Arabidopsis thaliana: one gene and its partners. The protein of the gene in region 3 binds, or shares a complex with, the protein of the main gene of each other region. Each region holds a gene or a part of one and is shown on either strand. Other genes may lie near its edges.

Evidence for each region.
Region 1: AT2G43030 (region 3) and emb2184 share a complex: the UniProt entries of both Arabidopsis thaliana proteins name them as parts of the 50S ribosomal subunit.
Region 2: AT2G43030 (region 3) and AT5G47190 share a complex: the UniProt entries of both Arabidopsis thaliana proteins name them as parts of the 50S ribosomal subunit.
Region 4: AT2G43030 (region 3) and EMB3136 share a complex: the UniProt entries of both Arabidopsis thaliana proteins name them as parts of the 50S ribosomal subunit.

What each region holds. Positions count from the first base shown.
Region 1 is NC_003070.9:28,269,949-28,274,321, reverse strand, and holds emb2184 (Ribosomal protein L31), read right to left. Parts: upstream 2,252-4,373; 5' UTR 2,160-2,251; coding exon 2,091-2,159; intron 2,001-2,090; coding exon 1,635-2,000; 3' UTR 1,313-1,634; downstream 1-1,312. Other genes in the region: AT1G75340 (Zinc finger C-x8-C-x5-C-x3-H type family protein), read left to right, coding at 2,449-2,486, 2,848-3,025, 3,186-3,280, 3,385-3,480, 3,571-3,664, 3,776-3,993, 4,089-4,166, 4,267-4,359. UniProt on the Arabidopsis thaliana protein: Binds the 23S rRNA.
Region 2 is NC_003076.8:19,163,136-19,168,516, forward strand, and holds AT5G47190 (Ribosomal protein L19 family protein), read right to left. Parts: upstream 3,001-5,381; 5' UTR 2,930-3,000; coding exon 2,900-2,929; intron 2,811-2,899; coding exon 2,481-2,810; intron 2,310-2,480; coding exon 2,223-2,309; intron 2,135-2,222; coding exon 2,001-2,134; intron 1,406-2,000; coding exon 1,297-1,405; 3' UTR 1,049-1,296; downstream 1-1,048. Other genes in the region: AT5G47180 (Plant VAMP (vesicle-associated membrane protein) family protein), read right to left, coding at 70-130; RAB1A (RAB GTPase homolog 1A), read left to right, coding at 3,894-3,907, 4,331-4,403, 4,626-4,673, 4,758-4,805, 4,902-4,973, 5,061-5,216, 5,311-5,381. UniProt on the Arabidopsis thaliana protein: Located at the 30S-50S ribosomal subunit interface and binds directly to 23S ribosomal RNA.
Region 3 is NC_003071.7:17,892,604-17,897,157, reverse strand, and holds AT2G43030 (Ribosomal protein L3 family protein), read right to left. Parts: upstream 2,363-4,554; 5' UTR 2,261-2,362; coding exon 1,445-2,260; 3' UTR 1,276-1,444; downstream 1-1,275. Other genes in the region: NPG1 (tetratricopeptide repeat (TPR)-containing protein), read left to right, coding at 1-453, 544-691, 781-1,109; PAO2 (polyamine oxidase 2), read right to left, coding at 2,718-3,456, 3,537-3,634, 3,725-3,827, 3,923-4,008, 4,123-4,210, 4,302-4,415, 4,512-4,554. UniProt on the Arabidopsis thaliana protein: One of the primary rRNA binding proteins, it binds directly near the 3'-end of the 23S rRNA, where it nucleates assembly of the 50S subunit.
Region 4 is NC_003076.8:4,338,635-4,342,952, reverse strand, and holds EMB3136 (Ribosomal protein L10 family protein), read right to left. Parts: upstream 1,692-4,318; 5' UTR 1,660-1,691; coding exon 997-1,659; 3' UTR 858-996; downstream 1-857. Other genes in the region: AT5G13520 (peptidase M1 family protein), read left to right, coding at 1-146, 543-836; AT5G13500 (Hyp O-arabinosyltransferase-like protein), read right to left, coding at 2,126-2,188, 2,531-2,644, 2,794-2,865, 2,995-3,064, 3,170-3,267, 3,434-3,635, 3,716-3,783, 3,888-4,277. UniProt on the Arabidopsis thaliana protein: This protein binds directly to 23S ribosomal RNA.

The DNA of each region.
Region 1 (4,373 bases), on a different chromosome or scaffold from region 3:
AAGAATACACGTGAAAGTCACGCGCCGTCAAAGTAAAAGAATAACAGACTTATCCACACATTAACGAGGTTCGTGGATCCCGAACAAAAGAATAACAGGAAAATGGTCGAGAACCACGTGAAAATAAGATGAGTCATGTGCCCTAACAGGACTTTTTACACAATACACATAGTATAGGGGGGTATATATGCAAATATTTTAATTAAGTTAATAGCTTAATTCATAATTATTATAAAATTGAGGGAGCTATTAGTGTTTACTGCAGACAAAGGCTGATTTGGAAAGATCAACAGAGTCAGATAACTGTCCCCGAACAAACAAACATACGAAGTGCATTATTTTCGACAAATGAACGCAACGAACATTTAAATTGTATTTGTCCCAGCAAAATTAAAATTTATTTAATCCAACACATTGTATTTATTCCAACATAATTAACAAACTAATTAGATATGGTTAGACATATAGTTTAACTAACCCAACACAGCGTCTTTCATCAATCTTATGCTAGGAAACAGGAGACCATTAGTTTATCTTAAAACACCTTCTTTTTGTGTGTCTAAAGTCTTTAAGATAATATTTTAAGACTCAATTTTAGTCAAGATCGCAAATCATTGATAAGAAAGGATCTAAGACTTCAACCAACGAATGAATTTAGTTTAACTCAATTATTCAGATTCAACTGCATCGATCAGCATATGAAGTATGTAGAGATGTCAAAACCCAATTTACTAACGGATTAAAAAGCCCACAGGTTTTCCTTTTGAACTTCAGTGAAAACTTTGGTAGCTTAGTTAAGAAGCAGAAGACTCCAGCTGAGAGGAAATGGGCCTAAAATAGCCCACACATTCGACTGTCTTCAAATGGGCTTGAGACGGCCTGATATTGGTTTGGCTTGATATTGGTAAAACCTCTGATTGAGCTGGAGTATTCTGTTTCTGTTCAATATTGGTCACACAAATTCAGTAGTAGTATACAATTGGGCATGATCACAGAATCTTCAACTTCAAGTGCCAAAAATTTTCTTTTATGTTCTCAAGCAAAACATACTCCTACGCCATGGCCACAGTTCAAGAATCTGCTCACTATTAGTACGCCACTTCGTCGTCAGAAGACAAATGTTTTGCCTGATAACTTCAGCAGACACTTACATAGACCATGATCATCATGTTCAACATCTTATAAATCTATGTAAAAATGATCTCAATCAACTAATCAACACACCACTTACACATCAACAACAACTACCTACACTAGTCATTAATCTCATGCCATAACTTTCCAAGATTATCACAAAATGTGGCAAAAGCCACAACCTTTCTTTCATTTGCAATTACCATTTCATAGGCATTGTTGCTATGTTTCTCTCACCAGTGTATATCTATCTATTATCCATCACAAATTCATGCCAAACTCACAAGCTAAAGATTTGTCCTTGAGATTCGCTACTACTTGTATCATTGCTCTGAGATCCTAGTCTCACTCTCAATGAAACCAAATAGATCTTAAAGAAAGCATAACCAATAGCATTCAGAAGAAAATTCACATACAATTTTTAACAGCCTAAGCAGTATCTCGACTTCAATTGAAAAGACAACAAATTCAAAGACATAAGCTTTACCAGAAAAGACTCATCATTTCTTCTTCCCTTTGGGACCTTTACTTTTCTTAGTAGGCATAATGATTTCTCCTTTAAGCACAGGAATCTCCATAATCTCAGAAAGCCCAGCGAACCTCTTACGAAACTTCTCAACTTGATCAGCATCAACCATCAAAGCCGAACGATTCCCGAGGTAAAACGGATGGTTACCTGACCATACATCAACCACATACTCTTTCTTTGTTCCTCCTGTAGTCATCACCAGCTCTCCATTGCAGTAAACCTTTGCGTCTTCGTGGAATTCAGGATGCAATTCCTTCTTACGACACGTTATCTGAACCACCGTATTGCTGCTTCTTCTCACCGATTGTTTTCCTCCTTTCACTGCCGCCATCACCGGCTAATTTTGAAAAAAAAACACAAACAAATTTAGTGATTTTGGGGAAGGAGGAGAAATAGACGAAGAATGAGAAATCGATTTCGAGCTTACCTTTCTTAATTGCAGAGAAGGAACACATGGGCTAATCTGAAGAAACGAGTTCGGGAGAGAAACCGCCATTTTTGTCTTCAGGAGCTATCTTCTTCTTTTTTCCTGGTGATAGAGAAGAAACGAAGTAACGATTGATGGATAAGAGAATGAGGATGATGAAGTGTATTGGAGTTACGTTTATAACCCTAAATACTTTGAAGATATGTAAGGGTAATATGGTAATTTACATAGAGACTTCCTTTTGTTCTGTTGATACACTCTTCGTCAATCTAACGCTTCTTCATTTTTCTCGAGAGAAGCAAAACTACATATATATATACGCACATACGTACACAGTTCGAAGGTTTTAGCTGCGAGTATGAGGAAGGAACTGTGTAGAAACTTTCAGCGTGGCAGGTAAATACTCTTTTCATCATCATCATCTTCTTCTTCATCTGTTCTAGTTTTTGTTTTGATTCAATTTGTTGTTTTATAAGAGTTTTTGAAGTTTGTTTCGATTGCTGAAGTTTAGGTTTCGTGTTCTATATTCTGGGGTTTAATTTGAAATCAATCGATGTGCGAAGGTGGTAATGTGTTAGAAAACGATGTCTATTGAGCTGAAATCTAAATGAATCATACAGTTTATTGACTTTGATAGATTCTAATCTTCGTTTCCGCCATTAATGAGGGTTGATTTGCTTCGGAAGTTATGATTAGTGATAGTAGAAGCTTAGAGACGTAATTATTGGACTCATCGTCCTTTGTGCTGTTTTTGCAGTTGTAGGTATGGGGAAAACTGTAGATTTCTTCATCCACAACAAGCTAAGCCAAATAATCCCTTTGGCTTTGGTACACAAAACCAACAACAACAACAGCAGCAGCAGCAACAAAATAGTTCGAACCCTTTTGGATTTGGTGTACAAAGTGGTGGTTCCAGCAGACCGAATCAGTTCCAGGTCAATTTGTTTTTTTCCTCTTTTAAGATGCAAGTATTGCTTTGATAGAATGCAAGTTATCGTTCGGCTTTGGATGAGAAAAATGGTGCATCTTCTTTAAGAAACGAAAGCATTTTGCCTGTTGAATGAATGGTGACATGATGATGCTTTTGCAAATCAGAATACTTGGTCACGAACGGCTTCTACACCTACTGGTGGTGGTGCTGCTGCTTCTACACAGCAGACTGGTAAACAGACGCAGCCGGCAGATCATAAGTGAGTGTATATATGTTTACATATGCTTGTTCTATCAATTATCATCCTTTTAGCCGTTTGTTTCTTTGGAAATTTACTGTTTCTCTCTTGGTTACTATACAAAGATGCACAGATCCTGCTGCGTGTAAGCGGGTAATGCAAGACGATTTTAAGAATGAGAGACCCATGTGGAAGCTCACATGCTACGGCCACTGGAAATAGTATGTATTACTTCATTTGGTTTAGCATCCTTGATCTTTATCCATTCTTTATAAACGTGTCTGATTTTTTCTATCTTTTTTTTCTTCTAGTTTTCCATGTGATGTTACCGGTGATATCAGCTATGAAGAACTACGTGCAGTGGCATATGAAGAAGCTAAACGAGGAATACCTCTACAGTCGATTGTGAGATTAACCTTTCTTGTGTTTGTTATACTTTACACTGGTTTTCATTTCATACTGATAAGACATAAGTTGATTTCCTCTTTTCCTGGCTTATTATGGTGCATTATATAGGTTGAAAGGGAGAGGAATCTGCAAAATTCCAAAATAGCCGAGTTTGAAAACTTTCTACGGAATCCATACAAAGGCTCTGTTACCGCCAATCAAAGCCCGTTTGCTGCAACCACTCCTAGTATCTTCCCTCAGTCCAGTCAGATCAATTCCCCTTCTCCAGCATTCTCTGGCTTTAATCAACAAACTGCATTCTCCAATACCAATGCGGGTGGACTCAGGTATCAACTTTTGTGGGATTTCTCCAATTTTCATATCCCAAAAAGTTTGTGTTGCCTTCAAACTAACTCTCGGTTTCCATTTTTCCTCGACATAGTTCATCTGGACCTCCGAATGCCTTTGCAAGCTTCAATCAACAAACTACATTCCCCAATACCAATGCTGGTGGAGTCAGGTACTAACTTTCTCCATATTCCATATTCAAACAAGTTTGTGTTACCTTTATAACCTCTTGGTTCCCATATTTCTCTTTGGCCAACTATTCCTCTGCATAGTTCATCTGGACCTCCGAACCCCTTTGCAAGCTTTACTCAACAATCAAATAATCAACAAACTGCATTCTCCAATACCAACGCTGGTGGTCTCAGGTATCAACTTTTGT
Region 2 (5,381 bases), on a different chromosome or scaffold from region 3:
AATTAACCAAGTATAGATGAGACAAATGCATGCCATTGATTAACGAAGAGAGTGTAGAAGAATGCTTACAGAGAAATTTGAGTTCATCAGGTTGAATGGAGATAAGCTGATTCTCGCCAACGCCGGTCATCTTTTTTTTTTGTTTGCTTAAAGCTACGACGACAAAAGTTTCACAATCAAATCTCTATTGAAAAAAGTATACAACAACATCAAAAAATCGAAGCCCTAATCCAAACAATTCCGATTTTATCTAACTTTTTTCCAGAAAAGGTAAAAAGAGGGGAAAAACTGAGAAATGAAGAGAGGAAAAAAAGACGGATCAAACCTGAAGAAAACAAAAGTCACGGTCCCAACGATGAGGGAGGAAGAAGCTGCTTATTTTTTTCTCTGGCTCTCCCGATAATCGCTCTCCACCAATATCCCAAAACTCTCCTCCTATCTCTCTCCTCTCGTTCTATTCGTGGTAACAAAGGCAAAAGAAGAGAGAGAAAGAGAAACGGGGAAGACGAAACCCAAAGGCGCTTCGTGGAGCGGCCACGTGAAGTCGAAGCAAAGTTTCCGTACGATTTTCCTCCGGCGTCGTCTCCGGGAACTGCGGGGAAGAAGAAAGAGCGAAAGAGAGAGAAGAGAGGGAAAAATGTGACACGTGTGAAAACAGTTGTGCATTGTAAGAGACGAAAAAACAAAGGTTAAAAGCGACAGGCTGGAAAAAAGAGGATGATGACGTGGCAGATATTGATTGGTGTTTGATTTTATATAGTGGCTAAAAAGGCTATAATGAGCTTTCAGGGTGGTAGGCCATTTTTCGTCTCTCACGATTGATGATATTTTAAATTTATTTCTCCGTGTCCATTAATGATTGATTGTTAGCAAGTAATTAATTATCGGACATAAAAGTCATCATACAGAGGAAAGAGACAAGAAAAATACTCAATCATTCGTTTCTTTTTTCCTGCTTTAGCTGGAAAATTCATTTACATGAATGAATTACATGATTTTACATGTAAAAAATCTATTTTGAAAAGCAATTTCAATGATTCAAAAGTTTTATTTTAATGATTAAATCAGTCATATTTCTGAAAAAGAATACTAAAGGGTCCAGATTCTACATACTCAAGATCAAAACAATCAACATTGATTTACTTTTCTTAAATTACTGTTACTGTAAATTACATGAAAAGAAATGAAATCCAAAAGACGAAACAAACAAACAATTATTACAAGAGAAAAGAGAGTAGCTAGCTACCTTTGGAGATTGAAGACAACACAAGACAAGACTGGTGTTGGGTTTGGTGATCATTTAAAAGTTGAGAGACGAGGAAGTTTGTCCCTCAGATAGTAAAGTCTTGCTCTTCTCACTTTCCTGTGACTTACCACTTTTATCTCCTTTATGTTGGGAGAGTATCTGTTAAATTCAAAACACACATCACATCAGATACATATTCTAAACCAAGATCAAAACATATTACTTGATTGTGTAGATTAGTATCTGTTCAAGATCAAAACATATCAGTTACATATTACTTCATTGTAGAATCAGCCAATAGTACTGGAAAGTTCATAGGGACTAGTATGTTATGATAACGGCTAGACTCTAGAGTGATTAAGATTAAAGGTTGGTGCGCGTTTCTGTAGTAAATAAGCACAAAGCTTGGTGACCTATAATGCTAAGACTTCCAGCATTTATGTACTAGTTCCTATAGTATCATACTTGGAGTAGCAATTATTTCCTTTTTTCGTGAAGAAAGCTAATACATATGATCAGATATAGAATTGTAAATCTCTTAAGTTCTCAAGAAGCGAAGACTATGACTGTTCACGATAAAAGAAGCTAATTCCGGTTTGTTTTAGAGTTCCTAAAATCTCTCTCAAAGCCAAAAGACTCCTTAACAAGGTCAAAGACCCTTAACTCTGACTATCTAATACTATTTACATTTATACTTATCAATATACCCGAGTAAGTGTGTGATAATAGGATAGTTAAGGAAGAATAAACTTACATGGGAAAGACGATTTCAACACCAATGCCTGCAATAATCCTCCGGATACGGATAGTAGTGTGGATGCCTGCATTTTGTCTAGACATCACAATACCTTTGTAGATAGATAGCCTACGTTTGTTCTCAGGAACTTCCTGTAAAATCAAACCCACCATGTCGTATCAAAATCTTGCAGTTAAATGCATAAATTGCATAAGATTATACGGGGACAATGAGTTTTACCAGTTTGATTTCTACAATATCCCCAGTCCTAAGTCCAGGAACCGGTCTTACAGTCTCTGCAACCTCAATAGCTTTCTTGTTCAGTAGCTACAGAAACAAAAAGCAAATCAACATTTCATTTCTCCAATGCCTAAAAGATAACTGATGATTTAAGAACAGGAGCCAAAACAACTACAGTATCAGACATGTATAATCAGATTCAGAGCCAAAACAAAACACTAGACAATCTCATAGAATCACATTGGATAATGAACTAACCCCCATGATATCTCCGAGCTTGACTCTCGTCTTCCACGGAGGTTTAGCTTCCTCCGCCGCAACAGTGGCTTCTCCTTCTCCTTCCGCTTCAGTTTCAACAGCATTCTCCACAACAGCCTCAGTTTCACCTTCAGTACTCTCTTCAGCTTTAGCGATAAACTCTTTTCTCTTCTTGGAATCGATGGCGAAACCAAAATTGGAGCTCGAATGATTGAGAAAAACCCTAGAAACTGATAGTCTTGAGTTCACTGATGATGCTCGTGGTAGAATTGAAGAAACCCCTAAATTCTTCGACGAGAAAGAAGGGGTTCTCGGTATCATATGCAATGCCTGGTTCCATAAATGGTAGATAAATACAGAATTCAAAGAAGCATAAGTATGAAAATGTGATTGAGCGTGAGAGAGTGAAGAAGAAGAACCTGAGGAAGAAGATGAGAGCTCGTCGCCATGTTTGCACAACCCAAACTCGAAACCAGAGTAAAGAAGAGCCTTATCGCTTATCCGCTCCGTGTATTTCAATTTATGGGCCATTTACTAATTTTATGGGCCTAGACATTTAGGCCCATATTCAATTGATATAACAAGAAACCCATTACCAAAGCTGGTTCTACCAGTCTACCACCACGAACCAAGGCTTGTCCAAGTACACTAATGTAGAACCAAAAATGGTTTAAATAAAGAGTTTCTGTTACAAACAAATGTATGTTTATGTGTCCTTAAATTGATAGCTCTAAATAATCTACTTTGGGCCTTTTAAAAGTTATGATTGACGAATAAATTTCTGCTGGAGTTGAAATATTATTCTATGTGACTATGTTGTATATTCAAGTCGTCTACATGTTCACGTTACATTGACTTACACCGCAAGCGATGAAAAGCTATTATATGTTAGTTTAATCAGAATACCAAAAAGATAATAATCAAAATATTCCATCTTCTTTCTTTGTGAAACGAATATATATTCTCTTACAGGTGGTTTAATTAAAAGCTTGACAACAGTACGTAATATTAGCATACATATAAAAAGTTACATTAATTGGATACGAAATTTTAATCTCCTAAAGATAGTTATTCTCCGATTGTATAGAATCAAAAAAGAAAAGAACAAAAATCGACAAAGAAGAAGAAAAAAGATTGATTGATTCTTTTGTCCTCCACGCATCTCTCTGAGTTGGCTCGGCCACGTCAGCATTCAAACATCAAAACCAAAACGCATTTAAATGTCGAAAAGAGTGGGTCCCTTTTTTTCTTTTTTCTTAACCGTGTCATTGACAAAAAGAGCACTTAATAAGCCAAAGCCACATAGAAGAAAAAAAAAAGAACATTCACGTCTCTCTCGTTTTTTTGGCCGACGACGATCGCTGAATTGACTGCCGGAGATTCCTTTAATCGTCAGATTCTCGTTGAGGGATAATGAATCCTGAATAGTAAGAAACTTGTCTTCTCGTTGTTTCATGTATCTATTGTTTCGGATCGATCCGCGTTTTTTATTTTTTGATGTGTTTGGTGATTTGGTTTTTGTTCGATTTTGCTTTGGATCTTTGTTGGTTGTTAGGTTTGTGAATTGAATCTACCTAATTTTGCTCGTTTAAGGTATTTTGTATTAGAATTTTGTATAGATTTGGATTTTCGTTCCATGGATCTTATACAGGTCAGATCCGAGGAAATTTGATCGAGATCTGCAATTTCTGTTTACTGTTGTAGTTGAAATTCGCGAGTGTGACACAATTTTCCCTTTGATCTCATTAGCATATTGTATATAGATGTTCTTGCGTTTTTATTTCCTGACCCGAATTTTCATGAGTTTATGAGCTTCACTGAGATTGGTGTTTACCGTTCTGTTGTTGCAGTGACTATCTGTTCAAGCTTCTGCTTATTGGTGATTCTGGTGTTGGAAAATCATGCTTGCTTCTAAGATTTGCTGTAAGTATTCCCACAATTCTGGATTCATCATCTCTGGTAGTTACTTTTTAACATTGTGTACACACAAAAATTTGAGGATCACATCTTGGAGTTCAATACCTGTTGCTCAAGACTCAAAACTCAAAAGTCATTACTCCATTGGATTAGCTTAGTTCTCACTATGGTATCATTGTTACTCCTTTGTGTTCTTATTTCCTGATATCTTGAATTTTATGTGGACAGGATGATTCTTACCTGGATAGCTACATAAGCACCATTGGTGTTGACTTTGTAAGCACCTTCATTTGCTCATCACTCATTTATATACAGGAATCAGAATAATAAGTGTTAACCTTTACTAATGATATCATGCAGAAAATTCGCACAGTTGAGCAGGACGGAAAGACCATCAAACTCCAGATCGTAAGTGTTCTTCAGCTAGATATGCAATCATAATCTGTTAAAATTTTGGAAAGAGCAGATAGTTACTCTTGTTTTGGTAATCGCCTGTGTATACAGTGGGACACAGCAGGCCAAGAACGTTTCAGGACAATCACTAGCAGCTACTACAGAGGAGCTCATGGGATCATTGTATGTACTCTTACTCTAACCAACCAATCATCTTCTTGTTAAATAACACATCCTATACCTCTTGCTCACAATTGCCTATCTTTGCAGGTCACTTATGATGTCACAGACCTAGAGAGCTTCAACAACGTCAAACAATGGCTGAATGAAATTGACCGTTACGCTAGCGAAAATGTGAACAAGCTACTGGTTGGGAACAAGAACGATCTCACTTCACAGAAAGTTGTATCCACTGAGACAGCTAAGGTAATTTTATAATAAACTAGGTGAACTCTCTATCCACGTAAACCTTGTCTTAAAGAGAATAACATTTTTGTTGTCTCATCTCCTTGTCCCACAGGCTTTTGCAGATGAACTTGGGATCCCATTCTTGGAAACAAGTGCTAAAAATGCAACCAATGTGGAAGAAGC
Region 3 (4,554 bases):
GGGAAACAAGCGAAGGTTCCGACATCGGATTTTGAAAGATCTCGGCTGCAATCAGAATCATTGAAAGCATTAGATGGAGCTATAGCTTTTGAGCACAATAATCCTGATTTGATCTTTGAGTTAGGTGTTCAATACGCTGAGCAACGGAACTTAAAAGCTGCTTCCCGTTACGCCAAAGAGTTCATCGATGCAACGGGAGGGTCAGTGTTAAAAGGATGGAGATTTCTCGCGCTTGTTTTGTCAGCTCAACAACGGTTTTCAGAAGCAGAAGTTGTGACTGATGCTGCTTTAGATGAAACTGCAAAGTGGGATCAGGGACCTCTCTTGAGACTCAAAGCAAAGCTGAAAATCTCTCAGTCAAATCCAACAGAAGCCGTTGAGACTTATCGTTACCTTCTTGCATTGGTTCAAGCGCAAAGGAAATCTTTCGGACCTCTCAGAACTCTTTCTCAGGTTTCAAAATCTCTTTTGTTCTCTAATCTATTGAGATCATCAATCAAAACCTTTTTTTTTTTTTATTGAAGAACTTGTACAATAACACAGATGGAGGAAGACAAAGTGAATGAGTTTGAAGTGTGGCATGGCTTGGCTTATCTTTACTCAAGCCTTTCGCATTGGAACGACGTAGAAGTCTGTCTGAAAAAAGCCGGAGAGCTGAAACAATACTCTGCTTCAATGTTGCATACAGAAGGCAAGAACAAGAAGCCATTTAACTAATCTCTTAGAATCATCCATTACTTGATTTACTCAAATTTGGTTTGAATCTTTGGGAATGATCAGGTCGAATGTGGGAAGGACGAAAGGAGTTCAAACCCGCGCTAGCAGCTTTCTTGGACGGTTTATTACTAGACGGATCATCGGTTCCTTGCAAAGTAGCGGTTGGAGCGTTATTGTCCGAAAGAGGGAAAGATCATCAGCCAACTCTCCCCGTGGCTAGAAGTTTGCTCTCTGATGCATTGAGGATCGATCCAACAAACCGAAAAGCTTGGTATTACTTAGGAATGGTTCATAAATCTGATGGACGTATAGCTGATGCTACTGATTGCTTCCAAGCTGCTTCTATGCTTGAAGAGTCTGATCCTATTGAAAGCTTCTCAACCATTCTTTAAAAATCCATCATAAAGATTTATATTCATATGTTCATTTTTTGTCTGTCATCTCATGTACAATTTTAAACCTTCTTAATTTCTTCAAACTAAATATATATTACATTGTTCGTTAGTTCTTTATGTTTAGAACTTTAGATGCTGAATTTTGGATACGCTTTCGAGTTTTGTAATCGCAGTTGAATCACAATTCAAGAACATTAGCATAGAAATACTTCCGACTTATACAAAAACTCCAATTCTAAGAAAGAAACTGTGATTTAGCAATTCGATACAAATTTTCAAGGAATGGATAAACACAAGTCAACATTACAAAACAAAACAGAGTCTCTTCTCTACTAGTTCTTGGGAATGTTAACTCCGACGATTTTAGCGGGAGTAATACGAAGAAGATTCCCAGGCTTACCAGGCAAAGCACCTTTGATCATGACAACATTAAGCTCCTTATCAACTTTAACAATCTTAAGCTTCCTAATCTTTGTCCTCGTCCCTCCCATTCTTCCAGGCATCTTCTTCCCTTTATAAACTCTTCCCGGAGTAGTACCAGCACCAATCGAACCCAAAGCTCGATGACTCTTGGAACCATGAGTCATCTGACCTCTCTTGAAATGATGCCTTTTGATTCCTCCTTGAAACCCTTTACCAATTGTGGTTCCAGCTACATCAACGAGATCACCTTCTTTGAATATCTCATCGAACACAAGCTTCTGGTTCGGTTCGAATCCTTCGATGTTTGTTAATCTGAACTCTTGGAGATGTCTCATTGGGATTGTACCGGCTTTTTGGAGATGACCGGTTTCCGGTTTAGTTAGCTTTTTGTCGCGTACACGACGGTAACCGATTTGAACCGCGTCGTAACCGTCTGTGGCTAGGGTTTTGATTTGGGTTACGATGTTACCTTCGCGGAATCCGACGACTGTTACTGGAACTACTGTGCCGTCTTCTTCGAAGAAACTCATCATCCCGAGTTTTGACCCCATTACTCCGATTCCAGCTTCCATGGATGATGAAACCACGAATCTGGTTTTTGGTGATGATTTGATGAGAAGTGAAGAGGATTTCGCCGGGAGGAAAGTGGGAGTGAAGAGTGAAGAGGATAAGGTTGTTTTGTTGAGCAGAGATGGGAAAGAAACAACCGCCATAGCTATCGCCATTGTCGGAGATTCACAGAGGAGAAGAAACTCTGAGAGAGGATAAAGCTCTGTGCCACACTCTTATCTTCTTCTCCAGTTATGAAATTTATTATTATACCGCTGAAGATACTCATATTTACAAAACACGGTGGTTTACCTTTTGCAACATCGGTCCTTTAAATCTGATTTTATTCATTTTGTATTTTTTCTTCTTATTGTATTCAATTTAACCTCTTTCAAGATTGGTGTTTATATTAGTTAGCACAAGTGAGAAAAGAAAATAGTACTTGAATTCTTAAAGATGATTATCATATATAAATAATATCACAAGGATATAATGTTCCAATTTATTGAATTAAAAACACTGAGAAAATAAGACTGGGAATGTTTTAAACGATCCGACACGAGAATAATTTTAGTTTCATATTAAGACAATCATCACTTGAGGTTCCTTCTAGTAAACGATAACTGATGGAGTTTAGAGACGAGATATAAGAAGAGGTACAGAGGCAGGTCCTTCCTCGCCCATCACAGGCTGGAACAGATCCAACTCACCATACCGCTCCAGAACTCGCATCCTACAATCTTCAGCTGCCATCAATCCAGTTGAATAAGCGCCGTGAACCGAGCCCGGGAAGCTCGAGCTCGTCGCTTCACCGGCAAAGAATAAGTTATCCACTGGAACCCTAAGCCTCTCGTAGAGATCATGAGGTTTGCCCACGATATCATAGCTATAAGATCCCATTGAATTCACATCAGATCCCCACCTCGACACGAGATACTGTACCGGAGGCAATGCATCGGGAAGAATTCTCTGGAGTTGCAAGACGGCGAAATTTGCAGCTGCTTCATCAGACATTTTCTCAATGTCTTTGGCAAGCTGACCAGCCGGCATGTAAACCAGAACCGGATGACCCGTGGCCTTGTGCAGGTTCAAAAAATAACTGCAACCGTAGGAGGTTTCAGCTACCACTCCTAGAAACTCTACTTTCGGCCAAAAGACTTTCTCAAAATGTAGTATGATCTTGTTCTCAATACCTACTCCTAGGTCGTTGATTGCTTCTTGTTTCCACTCAGGTAGCTTAGGTTCGAACTTTATGGTTCCCGATTTTAAAACTCCAAGAGGGACAGCAATGACTGCAGCATCCGCAACAAAAGTTTGCCCGTTTTCTGTCGTTACCTTCACTCCATTGTACCGCCTGACAATCTTAGTAACCCTGAGAGAAGGAGAAACACGAGGTTATGACTGTGAAACACTAAACGAATGCCATAACTCTTGAAAAACGCAAAAGCTTACCTGTGGCCTACTCGGATATCAAGACCTTTCGCCAGAGTATTGATGACAGGACGATACCCTCTAACCATAAGACCGTGTCCACCAGGCAACAATTCCTCCTGCACATTTCTCGGAGTGTTAAACCAAAAATTCAAGAAGCAGTCTATACAAAAAAAACTCTTAACTACGAGAGAAAGAATGTAACTAACCTGGTCCCAACACTTTGCAGAGATGGTTTCAGCATCTGCGGCAAACCATCCTTCCATGCGGCATACATACCATTGAAGTACGTTGTGTGCAAGCCCCTCTAACCTGGATGTGAAAATTCAAAATTCAACCATGAAACCAAGCTTGCAAAAGTGCATTGCCTAAAGAAATTGAGAAAATGAGACATTATGTATACAAACCTCAGCTCGGGTTTCCTAGAAAAGACAATTGAGAAAGCCTGAGAAATTGAAATGTCAGCATCCTGCTCATCCCTGACTTTATTGATCTGTGTTTGCAATAGACGAATCTAGTTAGCATGAGCATCAATCAAAGACTTGCAACATCAAGAAATACGAGAATAGGAATAAAGAAGAAATCTAAATGAATGTGAAGGACATACCTCTTCCAAAATACGCTCAAACGTTACGCCAATCTGAGTTACCAATTCTTGAGGAACTTGGTTGCCATCCATATCAAACAGAGCATAGCTACAGAAACAAAAGAATTGCACTGTGAGTTTTAAGGTGTCAAACAAGAATAAAAAGATGGAGGTAACAAAATCGAAATATTCAAGCAAACCTCTCGAGATCATGATCATACAGGACGGAATTGTCACCGCTAGTACGATACAAGGGCAGTCCAAGTCTTCCAATAACTGGTGCGAGAGGATTCTCCTTGCATACTCCATGCAGCCTGTGACATAACGATGTTGCTGTGTTAGCCTAAAGTTAACCAAAAACCAAAACCAAAACATCATCTAATGACAGGATGAAAGAGCCGTGAGATTACCATGATGCACCAAGATCAACAGGAAAACCAAATGAGTAATCAG
Region 4 (4,318 bases), on a different chromosome or scaffold from region 3:
TCTCAACCATTTACACAAAGATCATATCCCTGGCGAAAGAGTTTAAGGAAGGAAAGATGCCAAGTGAGGATGATGTTGCTGAGTGGAACGGACAGGAATGGGAGCTGTACTTGGAGAATCTTCCTAAATCATGTGAACCTTCTCAGGTACTCTTTACTCCTTTCTTCCTCTAAGTTAATGGGAGCTGTACTTGGAGCTGTACTTGCTGAGTGAATCTTTATTTCTTCCTCTAAGATAATGGGAAATGGCTTGACTTAGGTTGAACTACTCAATAAGCTTACATAAGGAGGAGAAAAAGGCCTAACTAACTGTCAGTTAGGTTAGCTCAATAGTTACTCTTGGATTAATGTGGGGCTAGTGAATAATGATTGTGGAAAAACCCTCTTGGCTTTGGGAGAGTTCATGATTGTGGAAAGTGTATTGGCTTTGCAAGAGTTAGGATCTTATCTTGTTTGTTAATGACAATGCTAGTCAACAAAGGAAGGATTGGTGATCAGGTTCAAACCTATGGCTAACACCCACTTTGCTCATTGATGAATCAGGTCATGGCCTTGGACAAGCGGTACAGACTGGCAGAATCGAAAGACTATGAAGTGAAGGTCTCGTTTCTGCAACTTGCAGTCACATCCAAGTGCAGAGAGTACCATGGGGAAGTGAAGAAAACACTAAAAGAGGTAGGAAGGATGAAGTACCTGCGTCCACTCTTCACTGCTCTTGCACAATCTGGTGGAACAGAAGAGAAGCAGCTGGCAAAACAGGTGTTTGCAGAAGCTCGAGAAACTTATCACCCCATAGCTCAGGGAGTTGTTGAATCTATCCTCTCTAAGTACATCTAAACAAGACCGTTATGATAGCTTGAGAGCACTCCGAAAAACAACATTTCAATAAAACTCAGTCACTGTAATAACAATTGGTGCTTGAGAGAGTCATAAACAAAAAATTGAATTGCCTTTTGTTGCGTACATTACATTCTCCAAAAGATTAGTACAAGCTTAACTATGCATTACTCTCATCTTCCAACTTCTTAATGTAAGCCATAAGCACCATTATAACCTCTCTTGCTGGTGCTTGTAAAGTAGTGACGAGATTAATAGCCGGAGATTGCAGAGCACCGAGCATCTTAGCGTAGACCTCAGCACGAGTGGGCATGGTCTCGAGGACTTTGAAATTGTCAGGAGCGTAGAACTTACCTTCGAAGACAGCGCCGGCAAAGTCATTGTTTTCAAGCTTGCGTTCCTTCTGGAAGCTCCGGTAGGGTTTGATAGCAGAAGGGATTTCATCGGTCTGGACGAAAAGCCAAGCGTTCATGCCTTTCATACAAGGCTTGAGAGCTTCCCATTTGGTGCCTTCAATGGCTTTGAAGACCAAAGTGTTCTTGGCGACGATGAGCTTTGTAGTGTCGGGGAGAGTTCTCCGGAGGTCTTGAAACTGCTTGACGGTGAGGCCTTTGTAGTTGATGGCGGCGAGGAGATGGCAGTTCTCCAAGTGAGACTTGACGGCTTCGACAGTCTCTTCCTTCTTGTTACGAGACACCGCGGATCTGATGACCGGGAGGCGAGGGTAATTTGGGGAATTCGAGGTTTTGGGTGTGAGAGTTGAGATTCGCTGGTGACAGAGAGGAGACAAGGAAGAAGAGAAGGAGAGAAGAGCCACTTCCATTTTTTTGCTCAGAAGATGAGGAGACTGTTTCTAGCTGTGTGGAGGAAGAAGATAGATGAACAACAACACAATCCTCCACTAAGCAATTTTATTTTTTTATTTTTCTTAAATGGAAAATAAAATTTATGGATAAAAAAAGGGTTAATAGACGGAATTAGTAACTCCGTCTAATTTAACGCATTGTGTCTTTTAGTCTCTGCTTCTGAATTCTGAACGCAATCCATTGGTAAACTAATCAAATAACTAGACCCAAAATAATTCTATTTTCTTTCTCGGAATTATGGAAGATGTCTCGTCTCGTGTCAAACAAATAATTTTGTAATTTACTACTCAAGTTCATAATTTAACCATTACAAGAAAAAACAGACAAGAAGGGAAGTAAAGGGAGAAGGAAAAAAAAATTAGGCAAAATATTGTTGCTGTATGGATTTGTCCCTATGGTTTGTGTTTTGTGTGTGGATGTGAGTTAGAGAGTGTCCCAATTAGGGATAGTCGCAGTAGCTTCATTCACCATCTTCACAAGTGTCACCTGCACCATCACACAATATGTTATTAAGGACAGTCATTCAATATTACGGTTCTCACTCTCACACTTGATTGACCACAAGCAAAACCGTAACTCCTGAAGATATTACAACTACTTCTAACAGACTTATGCATATCATCTCCCCGGAAAGTAAAACCATTGCAAATTCACAAACTACATCAAACTATGGACGACCATTTGTGTATGACGTTGCTATTTAGTCTCCGGAATCCACTAAACCAATGGACATGATACAAATAAGTTCCCCTTTGAGCTATGAATGGACCTTACTGCAGTATCTTGTTTTAAGCACGATCAGATTATAGAGGTTTATATATAACATACCACACTTTCGGGAACACCGGGAGGCGGCAAGGACATGTTCCTTGGAGGAGGACCCCGCAAATGTGATCTCTTATCGAATCGCCACTCTCCTATTTTGCCATATGTCAGCTCCCCCTGTATTTAACAGTCAGCAAAACTTAGTAGTGACTAAAAAGAGAACCTAATGACCTTAAGTAAAAACAAATGACCACAAGATGTGAAATCTGTTCCTAATTTATCAGCCAAAAATTAAAATTAAACAATCGTGTCAAACAGAAAATCACCTTCATGTTGTAGTCGCATCCATAAGTGTAATGAATGATAAACTTCCCCTTGGTAGACAAATCCCACGGAGGCTGAAAGATATTGTGAGAGAACTTAGGAATATGGAGCAGAGAAACAACTTTTGTAACTTTGACAAAACAAAAGTATCTTCGACATAGAATATGTTATCACTAAGGTATCAGCACAAGGTCGATTCTTACCTGAAGCATGAAATCCTTCCGAAGTATGTGACGCACCCCATGTATAGCAGATGCAATTGCGTAACCGTACCTTATCAAACAGAAAAGAGAAGAATAAAGTAGTCAGTTAACAATGATGGGATTCAAAAGGTGGAGAGCCAATTCATGATTTAAGATTCTTGTTTCTTGTGCTAACATTTCCAGCACCCATCCAAATGCCTTATCAGTTTCTGGATCGTTTTTCATTGTCAGCGAGACATTCATCCATGTAGGAGCAATCTTTTCAAGTGATTCCTGCATCAGAAAGTAAATGCATGTCAACATCAATTTTAATGCATGAACAGAACAAACAGAACATATTCCTGGACACCAACATCACATCTAGCTAAACGCCTCTGAAAATCTTTGGGGCCCAAGTCAAATAACACATATACAAACAGTATAGCACAGATAATCTCACCTTGCTTATGATAACAGGAGAGTTGCCAATGGGGTCGATATTTGTTACTGGCCCCATCTCCGCTGGATAATACTTTCTGACTATGTTTTCATACTTTTCAGGAGTAATATAGAAAAACGGAAAAGCGGCTGGGAATCCTCCAACAGCCAAATTGGGAAGGGGATTAACAAATACATGATCAGGCTCTGCCATGAGCACATAGCTGCACCAACAGTAAGATGCAGGAGATTTAGCAAACAGTAGAATGTTAGTTGGAAGGAAGAGAGAAATGACAGGACTTACTCTTCCTTGATGGTAGCTCTTTCAAGCCATTGCACGAATGCCCATGGTCTATTCAAGACAACATACCCCTAAATACAAGATTACAAGATTACAAAAAAGAGTGAATCAGTGATAAACCATCAACAAAAAGTGAGACCAAATGGAGAAACGGGAATAAAATAAAAATTCTTACCCGATCAAGACCTGGAGGAAGAGGATCAACCACAAATGTGGGTATTTCATCCATCAAGTTATCAGAATTACCGGAATGCAAAATACGGGTGAAGCCACCCATATCAGAACCAGGAAGAGCTTTCTTCTGCTTATACCAATAATACATAATACGACACTGCCACTTATTATAAGGTGCATCTGTAGCTGTTAAGGCAACATGAAAAGGTGCTGGAGAACTCTTGGCTTTCCTAATATTTAGAGGCATCTGAACAACAGGATCCAGAAGTGGACTTCCATCTGAATTACTCACACCAGATCTATTGTGAACTATAAGTGTCAGAAGATTATATGTGACAACAAAGAACCCAAAACCCAAGAGAAACAGAAGCAAGCCTGATGCTTTTCCCATTTGTTTATTCTCAAATCAAGCTAAATTACAAAGCAAAGAAC